Linked DNA regions of Stegostoma tigrinum. The protein of the gene in region 2 purifies or fractionates together with the protein of the main gene of each other region. This does not show direct contact. Links are inferred from orthologs where the notes say so. Each region holds a gene or a part of one and is shown on either strand. Other genes may lie near its edges.

What was found. The genes of interacting proteins can lie anywhere in the genome.
Region 1: the proteins of cuedc1b (region 2) and smurf2 purify together in Homo sapiens (co-immunoprecipitation; 3 studies listed by BioGRID and IntAct, with this or other methods). This does not show direct contact. The link is inferred for Stegostoma tigrinum from reciprocal best matches to the Homo sapiens genes CUEDC1 and SMURF2.

The regions. Positions count from the first base shown.
Region 1 is NC_081375.1:10,563,243-10,570,577, reverse strand, and holds the start of smurf2 (E3 ubiquitin-protein ligase SMURF2), read right to left. Parts: upstream 3,095-7,335; 5' UTR 2,312-3,094; coding exon 2,260-2,311; intron 1-2,259. UniProt on the Homo sapiens protein: E3 ubiquitin-protein ligase which accepts ubiquitin from an E2 ubiquitin-conjugating enzyme in the form of a thioester and then directly transfers the ubiquitin to targeted substrates.
Region 2 is NC_081380.1:34,334,808-34,342,780, forward strand, and holds the start of cuedc1b (CUE domain-containing protein 1b), read left to right. Parts: upstream 1-4,939; 5' UTR 4,940-5,210; intron 5,211-7,973.

The DNA.
Region 1 (7,335 bases), on a different chromosome or scaffold from region 2:
GAAGAGGCCTTGCCAACTTCCTGTACAACCTCAACAATGACTTCCCAACTCCTATACTCAGAGGTCTGAACCAATGAAGGCAAGCTCGCTAAACATCTTAATGACCCTGTCTACATGTGACGCAAATTTCAAAGAATTATATAACTGAACCCCAAGGTCTCTTTGTTTTACAACACTACTCAGGGTCCTACCATTAACTGTAGAAGTTCTGCCCTTATTTGCTTAATCAAAATGCAACATCTCACATTTATCCAAAATACATTTCATCTGCCACTCCTCAACCCAATGGTTCAACTGATCAAGATCTCTTTATAATCTGAGATAACCTCCTTCACTGTTGACTATACCACCAATTTTGGTGTCAACTGCAAATTTACTAATCATTTCTCAAATTCTCATTCAAATCATTTATATAAACATACTTCAACCAAAATTATGCATGCATTTTCAGGCATTTATCACTTTACTTCTCATGTCTGTAATTCTTTTCAACAGTACATAGTTCAGTCATTCTTGTTTGAGCATGGATTCTAGCCCCACTCAAAAAGATCTAAGGACATATTCTCATGCTGGATTAGTATTACCACTATCTTTTGGCTCAGGAGTTAACTCAAGATGTCATGTGCCTTTACTCCAATCTGAACAGCCTAGCTCTGCAGGCATCCCAACCACCATTTATTCTTGAACCAACACCACTGATAACAGTAACTGAGTGTGCAATTCTGAAAAATGTTGGAAATCTGAAATTAAAAACAAAAACAAAATTCCATTAAGCCTCAGAATGGCAAGCAGCATCTGTAGACTAAGAAACAGGGTTAATATTTCAGACAGATGCTAATTCATTAGAAATGGTGTAAGGTCATCAATCTGAAACCTTAACTCTTGTTTCTGGCCTGATGAATATTTACAGCATTGTTTTTGCTATTACACTTCCCAACACAACAACATTGATGTTATTTCTAAAATGAAGCATTTTTATGTCTTTACAACATTTCAAGATTCCATAGAATGTGAAGTTTTTTTTGGAGGTGCAATTATGTTGTTAGTGCAGCACAATCCCACAAACAGAAGATTAAAGAGCAGACTATATGCTTTTTGAGTGGTCATTGAGTCAGACCGTTGGCAAAAAATACATACTCCCTGCTCTTCAAAATGATATCTAGGGATCTTTTAAAACAACCCAACTGTCATGCAAGACCTTAGATTTAATATCTCTTCCTACAGCCAGCAGCTCTTGCTATCACGACTCCTCTACTGTACTGAATGATAGGCAAAAATAAGCAATGGACTTTTAATCCACAACCTTCTTAGTAAGGGGTGAGTACATCATTTCTGAGCCAAGCAGACAGGCAAAACGTCAGCTAATGAAAATGTTAAGATGTCCAAGTATAATGTTCACAATATGCCTTTTCTAAAAAATACATTTTAGATATCATTTCCTATTTTGAATAAACCTGTTCTTAATGTAAAATGCCACAATTTGAAGGGTGGCTGTTTTCTCATAAACTTTCCAGAAACTAAGCTCCAGTTCTAAATAACGTAATCATCTTTTCATTGTGAAGTCCATGGAGATAAAATAAAAATATAAATATAGTGCAGAATAAGCACAAGGCAACAAAACTAAACTTTTGAACCGTTGCCAAGTTGGCTGTTGCACTTCTTTGGACGGGTGGGAACATAAATACAATTGGATTAATAAAATGCAGCAACTCGTAAGTCTTCTTGATCTTACATATTTTCATATTACAGACATGCCCGTATGCAAATCAGAGAGGAGTTGGTAGAAGCAGAAAGATTGTTTCGAATCCACACGCCCCCCCCCCCACGTCATAGGAATAACCTCAACAACCAAGAGTTTACTTTGCCAGGCCTCACACGTATTACAAGCACCGAAACCTCCAAACAGAAACAGGAATTTCCTGGTTATAAAATCATCCGAAGACACAACCCTTCTCCCCAAGCCCACATACAGGGAATAAGAAAAAAATTATTCAAAAGCAAAATCTGCCAGTCAGGAAAAAACTCATTCAAGTTCAACCACTCTTTTGTAAAGAAAATGTGTGCAAATGACATGACTTATTTGGCCACTCACGATTGGGGGTGGGGACAAAGAGAAGGAAACTACTAGAAAAAAAACAAAACAATCTTTCCATTCACAAATCATTTAAAAAGAGAAAAAGAAAGGATCCATTTAAAGCTCCAGGTCTTCATAACGCACAGTGTATATTACATATGCGTGTGCAATTCACAGCTTCTTACCTGTTAGACGTAACTTTACTGGCCCATTCCTCCTGGCTCCTTGATTAGACATGTTCCCGAGCGTTTATGTTTTATTTGTATGTTTATATTTTTTAAATGAGGTTTAATTCCGGCTGCTGCTGTTGCTAATGGTGATGGTATCTCCCGTTCGCCAGCGGCCGCCGCCGCTTTTCCCCCCTTTCCCCGAGCGAACAATGATGGCCTCCTCCAGCCCGGTGGCCCGGATGTGCATAGCCCACACTCACCAACGGACGACCAAAAAAAACTCGATCAAAATAAAAAAAACAAACATTATTTACCTCAGGAAATTTTTAAAAAGAAAACAACTCCCCTCCTTCAATACGCCGGAAAAAAAATCAATTTTTCACTTTTCTTCTAGATTTTTCTGTCTCTCTTCCCTTACTCAGACCGTCTCTGTGCCTCGATCAGTGCAACCAGACTCCCCCCTTTCTCTGTGTCTCGCTTCCCATCTTCGAATACAGCTCAGGATTGATCTTCTGTAGAGGTATATTGTTGTTATTTTGTCGAAGGCTCGAATCCAGTCGATTCGTTGTTGCTCTGATTTCTTCCTTATTTTTGAGAGTATTTCCACCCACAGAAAATCCACGCTCAAAACGACGAGAGGAGAGGTTGAGGGTTATTTTCCAGCAGCAAAAAGTTGTCAGTGATACTTTTTTTCTTTTTTTAAGGCTGAAGTCGCTGCTTTCTTCTCTTGTTTCGCTTCTTTGGTCGAAGTCCTCTCTCTACAGGGCTTCTCAACTGAGAGCCAGAACACAGTTCTTGCTGACATCACCCTGGTGCTCCCTCCCTCTTGACAGTCTGCAGCTCCTCCTGCTCGGGTCTCGGGAACAAGGCAGTCGAGAAATAGCACCAAGGAAACTTCACTGTTACTAAAAATGCGACTAAATGTGGTCGAGCTATGCCTGTAAATTTGTCAGAGCTTGACTTCGGATTATTGAGTTTACGAAATGCATGGTCTATCAATATGAAATCCACGATTGAAATGAAATGAGCCAGTCATTGAATGATACAGCATAGAAAAAGCCCATTCGTCCCATCGCTCTCGTGCTGCCTCTTTTGTACAGTTACCTAATTAATCACATTCTCCTGTTCTTTCCCCATAACTGTTAACCCCACAGTCCCCAACCTCCGCAAGCCAATTCTCTTTTGAATGTTACTACTGAACCTACCTTTCAGGCAGTGCACTGCAACGTCGCTGTTACCTCTTGTCAATTCAAGTTATTTTTGACAGTCACCTTAATTCTGTGTCCTCGAGCTGCCGATCATTCTGCAACTGGAAAGAATTTTTCCTATTTACTGTCTCACAACTATGATTTGGACTGAATATTTTGTCGGTTTTTTCACAGTGAAAGTCAGTAAAAACTTCGCAAGATTAGTAGAAATTCAAGGGCACGTTGAAGCAATCATCACTTTAAAAAATGTTCTCGCGAAACTCATGGGACTAAAAGGTGACAAGTGCTCTGGAGCTAATAGCTTGCATGAAAGGGTCTTAAAAGAATTGGCTGCAGAAATAGGGTTTGCATTGATTGTACATTTTCAGAATTCTGTAGATTATGGAAAGGCCCCAGTGAATTGCAAAATCACAAATAGAATGTCCATGTTCAAGAAAGGATGGATGTGTAAAGCTGGTGTGTGTATATATAGGCCATTTAGCCTAACATCTGTCTTTGAGAAGATGCTGGAATCTGATATCAAGCAAGTTTTAGCAGGGGTTTTTGAAAATCATGGTACGATCAAGCTGAGTCAACTGTGTCTATGAAGGAAAAGTCATGTCTAACAATTTTGTTAGAGTTCCTTGAGGATGTAATAAGTAGGGTGGATAGAGGGGTACCAAGAGATGTAGTGTATTTGGATTTTGGACAAATATTGATATGTCAGCATAAGGCTGAATGGATGAATTGCAAAATGTGGGCTTTTAAACTGCCAGGTTATGTTTAACTTGGAAAAGTGCAATCTTAAGCCTATGCATACAGTAGCTGCTAAGCATACATATACACCTCAAGGAAAGGCATTAACAGAAATGGTGGAAGAAAAAGATTTGATCATCATAGTGTATAAAACACAATTGACAGTAAGTCTAAGCATATTATTTTGTACCTGTAAATGACCTTAGTGTGGCTTCAGTTAGAATTTCGTGCCTAGTTTTGATTGCCTCACAGATAGGTAATATTGAGATATGGAAAAGATGCAGAGGAGGAATGCAAGATTAATTCACAATTGGAAACATCTTAGTTATCAGGATAGATTAAAAGATCTGAGACCATGCACTTCAGAGAAGGATAGGTGTGGGTGATCTGATCAAGTTTTAGGTGATTATGATGATGATGCGGGGAAAGTTGTGCTTGAGTAGACAATTTGTTGCAATTTAGTATGTAATCAAGGACCAAAGAACCAAATTTTAAATTGTAGAGGACCAGATCTGTGTTAAATGTCAAGATGTCGGTCTTCTTCTCAGAAAATGATGGACTGTGCATACAGTGGCAATTAATTGAATACTTCATGACAATTAGAACTGTTTCCAGCTAGGACAGATGTCACCTTTGAAGAAAGGTAGGTATTGCAGGAAATTGGAGGATTGAATGACATTTTCATGTTATTGACCCGACCAAACCACCTCAAAATATATTAAGAAGATGCCAATACCCTTACTTGCAACTCTAGCAGCAGGAATAGAACCCCAGCTTTTAGCAATAACAGAAAGAAATAAAAACTTCTGCATCCAACCTCAAGATCCCAGCAACTGCAGAAATCTAAAACTAAAAATCCTAGTTCTGTGGGAGCATGACCCCATTTATTCAGGCTGCTTCTATTGCTCCAAACTTTAAAAAAAACAGGGCCTCACAAGCTGTTTACTTTATTGGCTTTGAGCAGACCACTTATTACCTCTGTCTCAACCTATCTTCATAAAAAGTAACAGGGCAAAATATGCCTGTTAAAGCCATAGCATCATCACACTTGACCAGTTGTGATTGCCAAAGAGGGTCAGAAAGGAATTCCTAAACTTTTCTTCCTCCAACGTTGGTTTAGATTTTTAATGATTCCCTGGAGATTGAATGGTTTCAGGTAGAGTAAGAATGTATATATGGTAATGTAAATTTTTACCATCTAGTAGGACAAGGGCAGTAGATGCATTAGCAGAAACACCCATCTGCAAGATCCCCTCCAAGCCATACACCACCCTGGCTTGAAACTATATTGCCATTCCTTCATCGTCGCTAGGTCGAAATCCTGGAACCTCCTTCCTCACAACACTGTTGGTGTATTCATCCCATGGACTGCAGCATTTTAAGAAGGCAGCTCATGAGTGCTTTCTTAAGCAATTTAGGAATGGTGGATATTGGCCCAGCCAGTAACACCCACAGCTCATGAAAGAATGAAAACAAATGCACAAGATATTATAAATATGCAGGACAAGTCAGATGAACCAGAGTATCTTTCCTTTTCTGTTTTGTCATGTGTTCTTATAAACAGCAGGGAGAAAAAGTAAAATCTTTCTTGGTGGTGCTCAGTTAAGAGATAACTATTATTTTGATACCAGGAGAAAGTAATCTTTACGCTTATTGGTTCTATGGATCTTCTTTATCCATGTGAGCTCACACACTTAGTTTACAAGGCCTTAGTTTGACAATTTGTCTGAAAGACACCAGCCCCAGCATTTCTACACTGATGTTTCAGTCTAAATTTTGTGCTCAGATTCTGGAGTGCCATATTAATTCATGATCTTTAACCTAGAGATATGAGTGCTACCCGAATCAAGCTGCATGTATGATTCATAGTACCACACCAATTAATTTTGTTAATTAATACTTGCTGTAGCACCCCAAGTTATAGTCAGAATGTAATTTTTAAACTGAATCAGTTTTATATTTTTAAATGTCTTTATAGAAAGTGGCAAACACTATGCATAACATTTTTTTAATTCAAAACAACCAGTTATATAGCATATAAAATATATACTACAAATAAATAATAATTTCCATATGCCGAGATACATGGATATTAAAGAATGAGGGTGAGTGTGGCAGTATGATCATTTCGTACTGGAATAATTCTCTCCTTCCCTTTAGAGGGTGGGTGGAATACAAAAACGAACAAAAATGTCTTATGCATAGAAAATGATGTAATGATTGATACAATTAGTTTTTTTAACATTTTAAACTATGCATGACAGCAGAATAATTTTAAATTGTAAAGAAGTTTAAGCGCGTTTTTCCAGTAAAGTATCACCATGACTAATCAAAAAAGCGAGACAGATTTTTTCCCTGATGGGGATGTGCAAAGGCCACAAATCTGGTCTACATCCAGATAATAAAATAGATTTACTGGGGTTAATATTTTTTCTGGAATTTTTGTTTTACTGTCATTATATATTTTTTCCATTTTGTATTTTTTCTCAGGATATAGAATCCTTTGTCTTTGTAAATAGAAGCAGAGTGTACAAGAACAAGGAAGTTATGCGAAATTCAATGTAGACTAATTTTTTAAATAGTTCATACAGCAGTGAGTCATAACACACTGTTTATTGAAACATAAGAATGCTGTTCAAAGCAACAAAACTTGTTTACTAAAATTTGTATTTAAAGCAATTATCAGCATTTTGAGGAAATTGATTTGAATCACTTGCTGAAGTATTGAAGGAAGAGCTGAGAGTTATTTTCACATCACAACATACAAACAGTCATCTATCCTCATCAGCTGGTAACATCATCTAATCACATAATTTAGGAGGAAAATTCAAAACATTTCAGTAGCACTTTCAGAAACTAATTGTCCATGAATATTGAGGAACACCACTGATTTCTTTTGAAGTCAAATTTAAAGTTCTAACTAACTTGTTTCTATTTGTTCTAGCTGGCTCAAGCAAACAACTTTCAAACAGCTCATGCACTGTATTCACATCACATTAACAATACTGATGGATAAATATGAAACTAACAATATGAATAATCAAGTAGCATTTAAGAAGATTATTAAATCGTCAGATTTTGTGAATCCTATTTAAAGATAGTGTTAACTTCTAGTGCATATTTTGTAAATCAAGCCCCTTTTAAAACC
Region 2 (7,973 bases):
AACTGTCCCCACTCTGGGTATGCTGCTGCTCATCCCCATTCTACTTGGGCCCCCAGCCTGCTGGCCATGCCTGTTCTGTTCGGGTCTCCAGCCTGTAGCTGCTGCCTTTTCCCTTCTAAATGGTGGGGATCACTGATTTGGAAAGTGCTGGTGGATGGAGCTGCGCTAGTGAGTTGCTCCAGTGTGTCTTGTAGCTGGAGAGACTGTTGCCACAAAGTGAAGGCTGATGGTGGTCAATGGCGTACCAATCAAAAACAGTCTACTTTGTCCTTGATGGTGTGAAGTTTCTTGAGAATGCTGTTGGAACTGCACCAAATTTGATTTCTCAATAAGCACCACATATAGAAGAGGTACCATCTGCCTGCTCATACATACAGATTATACAGAGGGAGAAATAACTTTAAATTTCAGTAGACTGAATACTGGATAATAAATAAATGGAAACAATTTGAATAAATGACAAGCATGTTAAATTTCTCAATCCCTGTAATAAACCATAATCACACAGACATACTAGGTTAGTGCTTCTTAAACTATTCCCTCTGTGACTCCATTCTCAGGCTTGAAAATTGTCGTGACCCCTCAGTATGCAGCCATGGGGGAGGGAGACCCATGAGATCAGCGAAAGGAGTTTGGCCATTACAGCCTCAAAGCCTGCAACCCCAAAATGTCAACTCTCACCCTGTCCTATGGGAAGCCTTGTACTATTGGTTCTCATTCCATGCTTTGTGCTTTGGAATCTCATTAAGCAGAATCTACCTGAGAGCAGAGATTTTGCAGAACTCGACTGTGACTTTGTCAATAGGGAGTGTCACCCCACTCCCTGTAGCCCATTCTGGGTGTCACAGAAGCAAGACTGGAAGCAGTTTGGGCAAAGGTTCCACTCTCTGAGTGAATGAGAGGTGGCTTCATTCATTTGAGTGAAATTTGATTGAGGTACAAGTGAGTTTGATTCAGGAACAACTTTGCCAGGATTTGCTGCAACACAACAGGAAGTTAGATGGACATTTCTTATTGAAAATCCATACTGCCCCAAAACTAGACATCTGTTTATTTGCTGCAGGAAAAGCTACCAGTGCTCAGATACTCTTCGGATACTTGTTGGGATTTCAACAGTGTGTGTGTCCATTGAAAGCAGAGTTATATTTTCATTAGAAAACTCTCCATAAACTCTACATTCCTGCAATTCTGGCCTCTTGTGCATCGTCCACTTCCCTCATCCCACCATACGCTACCTTCATGGCTTTAAAGCTCTGGACTACCCTCTCCCCTAAAAAAAACAAACCTTTCTCTCTTTCTCCTTATTTAAGACACCACTTTCTGAAGAGAAGAGAAATTGCCAGTCTACAGGAAAAAGGCAGGGTAGTGGGATGAGGTGTCTTGCTCCTGAAAACATCCTCAACAAATAATACTATTGGCTGACAGCTAACAAAACACTGACACAGAACCTAAACCCAAAAAAACACCCTGGATTCATCTGAATGCTCCAGTAGACTGCCTCGTAACAGACCTCAGTGATGAAGATTTCATTTGCTTGAGGATGGCTTCATGGAAAATGTGGTTATGTGACCCATGAAACATGAGGGATGCTGAAATGCTGACTGTGACCATTCAAGTCAGCCCAGCGCCCATCTACTGCATTCCTGCCTGATGGTGTTGGCACTACTAGCTGTAAGGAGTGCAAGAAATGCTCACCAGACTACAACCTGACATAGTGGGACTGTTTGAGGAGGACAAGTTGAGGTGACTGAGCCTGTATTCTCTAGAACTTGGATGAATGAGAAATGACCACAATGAAGCATAACACATTTCCTTATGGGGCTTGACAGGCAAGGCGTAGGAAGCATGCTTTTCCTGACTGAAGTGGAGGGTGGAGAGCTTGTATAGAACCAACAGTCTTAGAATAAGAGATAGAATATCAAGGACTATGTTGTGAAGGAATATCCTAACTCAGGAGGTGGTGAATCTTTGTAATTCTTGACCAAAGAGCTGTAGGTGCCCAGTCACTGAGTATATTTAGGACAGAGATTGAAAGATTTTTAAATGTTAAAGATATCAAGGGATATGAGAATAGAGTGAGAAACCAATGCTGAAGTGGGAATATCAGCAGCGATCTAGTCAAAAGGTAGAGAGGCTCAACAAGCTGAATGGTCTGTTCCTATTACCTACATTCACACTGCATCATCTTGAATGAATGGCTAATCTTGTCATTAGACTCTAATGGCTTCCCCAGCCTTTAGAACATATTGGGCATGTTAGCAAGAGCAACTTGCCCGGTCCCAATTTCCCATCCTTTCACTGTAGCCTTTCATGTATTTTCTCTTTGGATAATGATCGAATTCTCTGTGAATGCCATGTTTGAATTTTCTCTGCCACACTGTCAGGGGAGTGCATTCCAAATTGTGACTACTCTCGGACTACAAAACAAAAGCTAATGTCATCTCATGTTGTTTCTTTTGCCAATCAATCTGTTGTCTGTTTCTAGGTTCAGAAAAAGGAGGGATTTCTTCCTATCCAATCTGTCCAGAGCCCTCCTGATTTTGGGCACCTCTATCAAATCTCCGCTCAGATATGCCCTCGAAGGAGCACTGCCCCAGCTTCTCATATTATTCATTCATTTAACTGAAATTGCTCACTCCAGTCTGTACTCTCTAATGGCAGCACATCCTTCCTAAAGGAACTGGACACAATCCTCCAGCTGAGACCAAATTAGTGTTTAATTCTGGGCTACTGTAATTCCTTGCTTTTGCTTGTTGTTTGTTTATATCTTGTTTCTGTCAATAAATGCCCAGGATCGTGATACTTCATTTCCTGTTCTTTCAACCTGTCCTACCACCTTCAATGTTTTGTCTCTGTACAGTCCCAGGTCCCTGTGTTTCCACTTTTGGAATTGTTCTTCTACTTTTATATTGACTCATCTTCTCCATCCCAAAATGAATCATTTAAGATGTACAATCAGTATTTCTCTTTTGTTGTTAATCTGGAACCCTCCAACAGGACAGCGGGAACACAATACAGACTGCTGCGATTTAAGCAGATGGTCCCACGCTGTTTTCTCAGAGCTACTAATTTAAAGCAAAAGCAAAATACTATGGTTCCTGGAAACCTGAAACATTTTTTTATAAAGTGATACTGCCAGTTTTGAGTTGTTTCTTCCTGTGTAAAAGACTTGATTAAAATTGCAAGTTTAAAATGAAGTAATTACCAGTTAAATAGAAACCAAAAGAACTGTGGATGCTGTAAATCAGGAACAAAAACAAAGTCGCTGGAAAAGCTCAGCAGGTCTGGCAGCATCTGTGGAGGAGAAAACAGAGTTAATGTTTCAGGTCCGGTGACCCTTCCTCAGAACTGATGGTGGCTGGGAAAATGTCAGTTTATATGCAGAAAATAGGGAGGTCGGTGGGGTAGGGAGTAAATGATAGGATAGAGCCCAAAGAGAAAGACAAGGGAGTTGCTAACGATCAGACTGGGAGGGTGAATAGTTGTTAATGGGGACTGTTAGTGACTAACAACGGGGGGGTGGGGGGCAGGCTATGTGGTAACAAGGCCTGATGTGTTGCCTGCCACTTCAATGTACCACCCTACTCCCTGGCCAACATCTCTGTGTCTGGCTTGCGACAGTGTTCCAGTGAAGCCCAACGCAAGCCGGAGGAACAACACCTCATATTCCGCTTGGGGACCCTACAGTCCCCCGGACTCAATATTGAATTCAATAATTTTAGGGCCTAAACTCCCCCATGTCCCAGCCCCCTACCCCACATACCCCATAGCCTGCCACTCCACACCCTCCCCCCGTTAGCCCCGTTAGTCACTAACAGTCTCCATTAACAACTGTTCACCCTCCCAGCCCGAACGTTAGCAACTCCTTTGTCTGTCCAACTGTCTTTCTCTCTCTTTGGACTCAATCGTATAGTTTACTCCGCACCCCAACCACCTCCCTATTTTCTGCATATAAACTGACGTGTTCCCAGCCACCATCAGTTCTGCGGAAGGATCACTGGACCTGAAATGTTAACTCTGTTTTCTCCTCCACAGATGCTGCCAGACCTGCTAAGCTTTTCCAGCAACTTTGTTTTTGTTCCTAATTACCAGTAAATAATGTTACAGTGTCTGGAAAGGTTTAGAGGGATATGGGACAAATGCAGACAAATGGGACTAATTTGGTTTTGGAAAATGTTTTGGTGTGGACAAGTGGGACCCAAGGGTCCATTTCTATGCTGTATGAATCTATAACCCTCAAAGCTCACTAGGTCAGTCAGCATCTGTGGAGAGAAGAAAAACAGAACTCACGTTTCAGACCGGTAACCTTTCACCTCCATTTCTTCTCAGGACAGCTTGGAGTAGACAATATCTCTAGTCCTCCCAACCAAAGAAAATCTCCATTTTCGTTGACGGATTTTAAATGGCATAAACATATACTAAACATGAAAAGATGCATTTACCTAATTTCATCAAATCAAATCAAAGGCAGTCTATAGAGCTGGTACAATATGACGAATGGTAAATCATATTGCAACAGAAGAATTGGGACATTGAATAGCACTGACTTTACAAGCGCTTGTTACAGGGGTTACAAACGAAATAAACCATGCTACTGCAGTCCCAGATCAAGCGGCGATTTTGCTGTGTTTAACATAGCAGTCAGTGTTTTGCAGGGCTTAATAAGGCATTTGACAAACCGGAGTATTTTTTTTACATTTCTACATCAGCCCGAGTCTTGCAGTGTTAGATAATGTTATAATCTTAAACAAATCAGAGGCTTTTACAACGTTTAATAAAACGGGAGTTTCACGGTGCTTAATAAACCGATATTGTTTAACGTTTCACAGTCTGTTCATAAAACCAAGAGCTTTGCGGTTCTTATACATCGAAGGGTTTTGCTAATTCCGTCTGGTTAAATGATTTGAGCAGGAGTTGCATTTCTCCAGGATCTCCACTAGGAAGCTGCATTGCTCTCTCTCACTGATTCCGTGCCAGAACCCTTTCTGAATCGGCTCCATCTCCATTTCCATCTGTTGACCTCGAAGCTGAAGACAGAGAGAACATTACAGCCGTCTCTCTCCCCCCACCCCCTTCAAACTTGACCAGAGTGGCTGCCAGCGAAGATTACTTCACGGACCGGAGCTGGGATTTTTACTGGCCCTTGCTGCGGACAGAGGAGACCGGAGTGAGAGTGAGGGGGATGTCTGTTTATAGTCTCTCCTTTGCCGGTGAGTAGCTCCGGGATCCTGGTCACCGGAGACTGGAGTGGGGGGAAACAGAGGGGGCTACAATTAGTGCTTTGTCAACGGGGGTGGGGGGTGGTTTGCAATGGGATCTGGGGAGATTTAACCTCCTCCCAACCCCGAGGAGGGCTGGCATTGGGCTGGATTTGCATTTATGTATGTATGTATTTATATATAAATGTGTGTGTGTTTCTTTTTCACTCGGCCTTCTTCGTTCCGCCTTTAGCGGCGGCTGTAAGAAGTGGATTTGCAGACACCGGACAAAATCAGGACCGTTCAGTATTGGAGAGGATACTTTGTCAAGATCTGAGCGGCTTTCTTTTTTAAAAAAAGACGGTGAAACAGCATTCCTTCAGCAGGAAACATTTCCCCATGTGTTACAATGTGTCGGACTGTATCAGTTGTGCAAGGGAATTTTGTATTGCTTCCCTTCAAAAATTAAAAGCTCATTTGGCTTCCTGTCAGGGCCCACTTTTGCAAATAGTTGTTTAACTTACTCCCTCGTAGAGAATTGGGGTTTTACTTGCGAAAATAATTCATCGTGGTTACCTGCTTCCTGTTGCCACTTACCCCTCCCCCATTCCTCGTTTTCTCAGGGTCGTCAGTTTCTCTTCGGTTCTGAAGCCAATGATTAAGCGTGAGACTGATCGAAATACATGCAGGGAACAGTGATCGCTGTGGTTCAGTAATTGCCTATATTCCCCTCCCCCTTCCCTATAATTCCTTTACCGCCCCCCCCCCCCCATTTAAAGATTGTTAAACAAATAGGACCATAAAAACTATGGAAAGTCGTCCATTCAGCCCCTCGAATCGATTCTGCCATTCAATAAGATCATGTCTGATCTGATTGTATCCTCAAATTTTCATTCCATTTACCTCTGATAACTTTGCTTATTAAGAATTTATCTCTGCCTTAAACATGTTCAAAACCCCTGTTTACACCACTTTTCACAACGGGAGACTCTCAACCCTACGATTTTTTAAAACCGAACATCAAATGGGTGACTCCTGATTTTTAAACTGATCCCACAAGAGACAAACATCCTCATCATATCTACCTTCCTGATGTCTCACAAGATCTCTTATATTTCAAATGAATTATCTCTTACCCTTCTGAATTCCAGTGGAAACAGTCCTGCGCCGCTGACCAAGCACACATCCAGTTGCAGACATAAGTTGAATAAACCTTCTCTGAACTGCCTCAACACACTTATACCTTTAAATAAGGTGTTCAATACTGTGCACAATATTTCAGTTATGCTTTGGCTGGATAACTAAAGCACAGGCTCCTAACTTTTTTTTATCAAACTCATGGCAAATGAAAACATCCTTTTTGTTCTCCTGATGACTTGCTGTATCTGTGTCCTATTCTTTTGCAATTCATTCACAAGGGCACCCAGATCTTAGCATCTCAGAGCTCTGTAATCTCCCACCATTTAGGTAATTTAAAAAATATTTTTCTTAAAAAATGGAATTTTTCATATTTCTCCATGTTACAGTCCATTTGCACAGCACAGCCCTCTCAATTTATCTGATGACATATTGTCAGAACCTCTTGTAGACTCTTCACAACTTAACCTTCCTTCCTTTCTGGCATTGTGTCATCTGCAAATTTGGCAGCCATTCACCTGTCCCTTCATTGAAGTTCTTTATAAAATTTTTAACCAGTAGACGTGCCAACACCGACCCCTGTGGCACACTACTAGTTAAACGTTGCCGACCATCTACACATAATTTAGCACTTTCTGTTAATCACCCAATAATCTATCTATGTCAGGATGCTAACCTGTACATCAGAAGCTTTTACTTTCCACAGTAGCCTTTAATGTGGCACACTGTCAAATGCCTTCTGTAAATATGAGTACAGTACTTTCTCTGATTCCCCGTATACCTACAACATTTGTTACCTCCTCAAAGAACTCCAGTAGGTTAGTCAAACATGATTTAGCTTTCTCAAAACCATGCTGGTGTGTCTGATTACCTTGAGCTTATCTAAGCATCCTACAATATGTATTGTAGACAGCGTAGAAGGTTTTCTAAGATTACAGAGGGATCTTGATCAAACGGTTTCAATGGACTGAAAAATGGACAATGGAGCTCAATCTGGATAAGCGTAAGATATTGCATTTTGGTACAATAAACAAGGGTAGGGCTTATACAATTAATGGTAGGGTCTTGAGTAGTGTTGTTGAACAGAGGAACCCTAGGGGTGCAGGTACATAATTCTTTGAAGTTTGCATCACATGTAGAAAGGCTGGTTAAAAAGGTGTTTGGCACGCTTGCCTTCATTGCTCAGTCCTTTTGAGTATAGGAGTTGGGAAGTCATGTTGAGGTTATACAAGACATTGGTGAGGCCTTTTCTGGAATACTGTGCCCAGTTCTGGTCACCCAGTTATAGGGAGGACATTATCAAGCTGGAGAGGGTTCAGGAGAGATTTACCACGATGTTGATGGGTAAGGAAGGTTTGAGTTATAAACAAAGGCTGGATAGGTTGGAACTTCTTTCACTGGAGCGTAGGAGAGGCAACCAGATAGAAGTTTATAAAATGATGAGGGGTGTAGATAGAGTTGATGGTAGTTTCCTTTTCTCTAGAATGGGAGATTTCAAGACAAGGGGGCACATTTTTAAGGTGAGTGGAGAGAGATTTAAAAAAAGACATGAGGCAAATTTTTTTTGCAGAAGTTGGCTTCTGTGTGGAATGAACTTCCTGAAGAAGTGGTGGAAGCTGGTACAGTTATAACATTTAA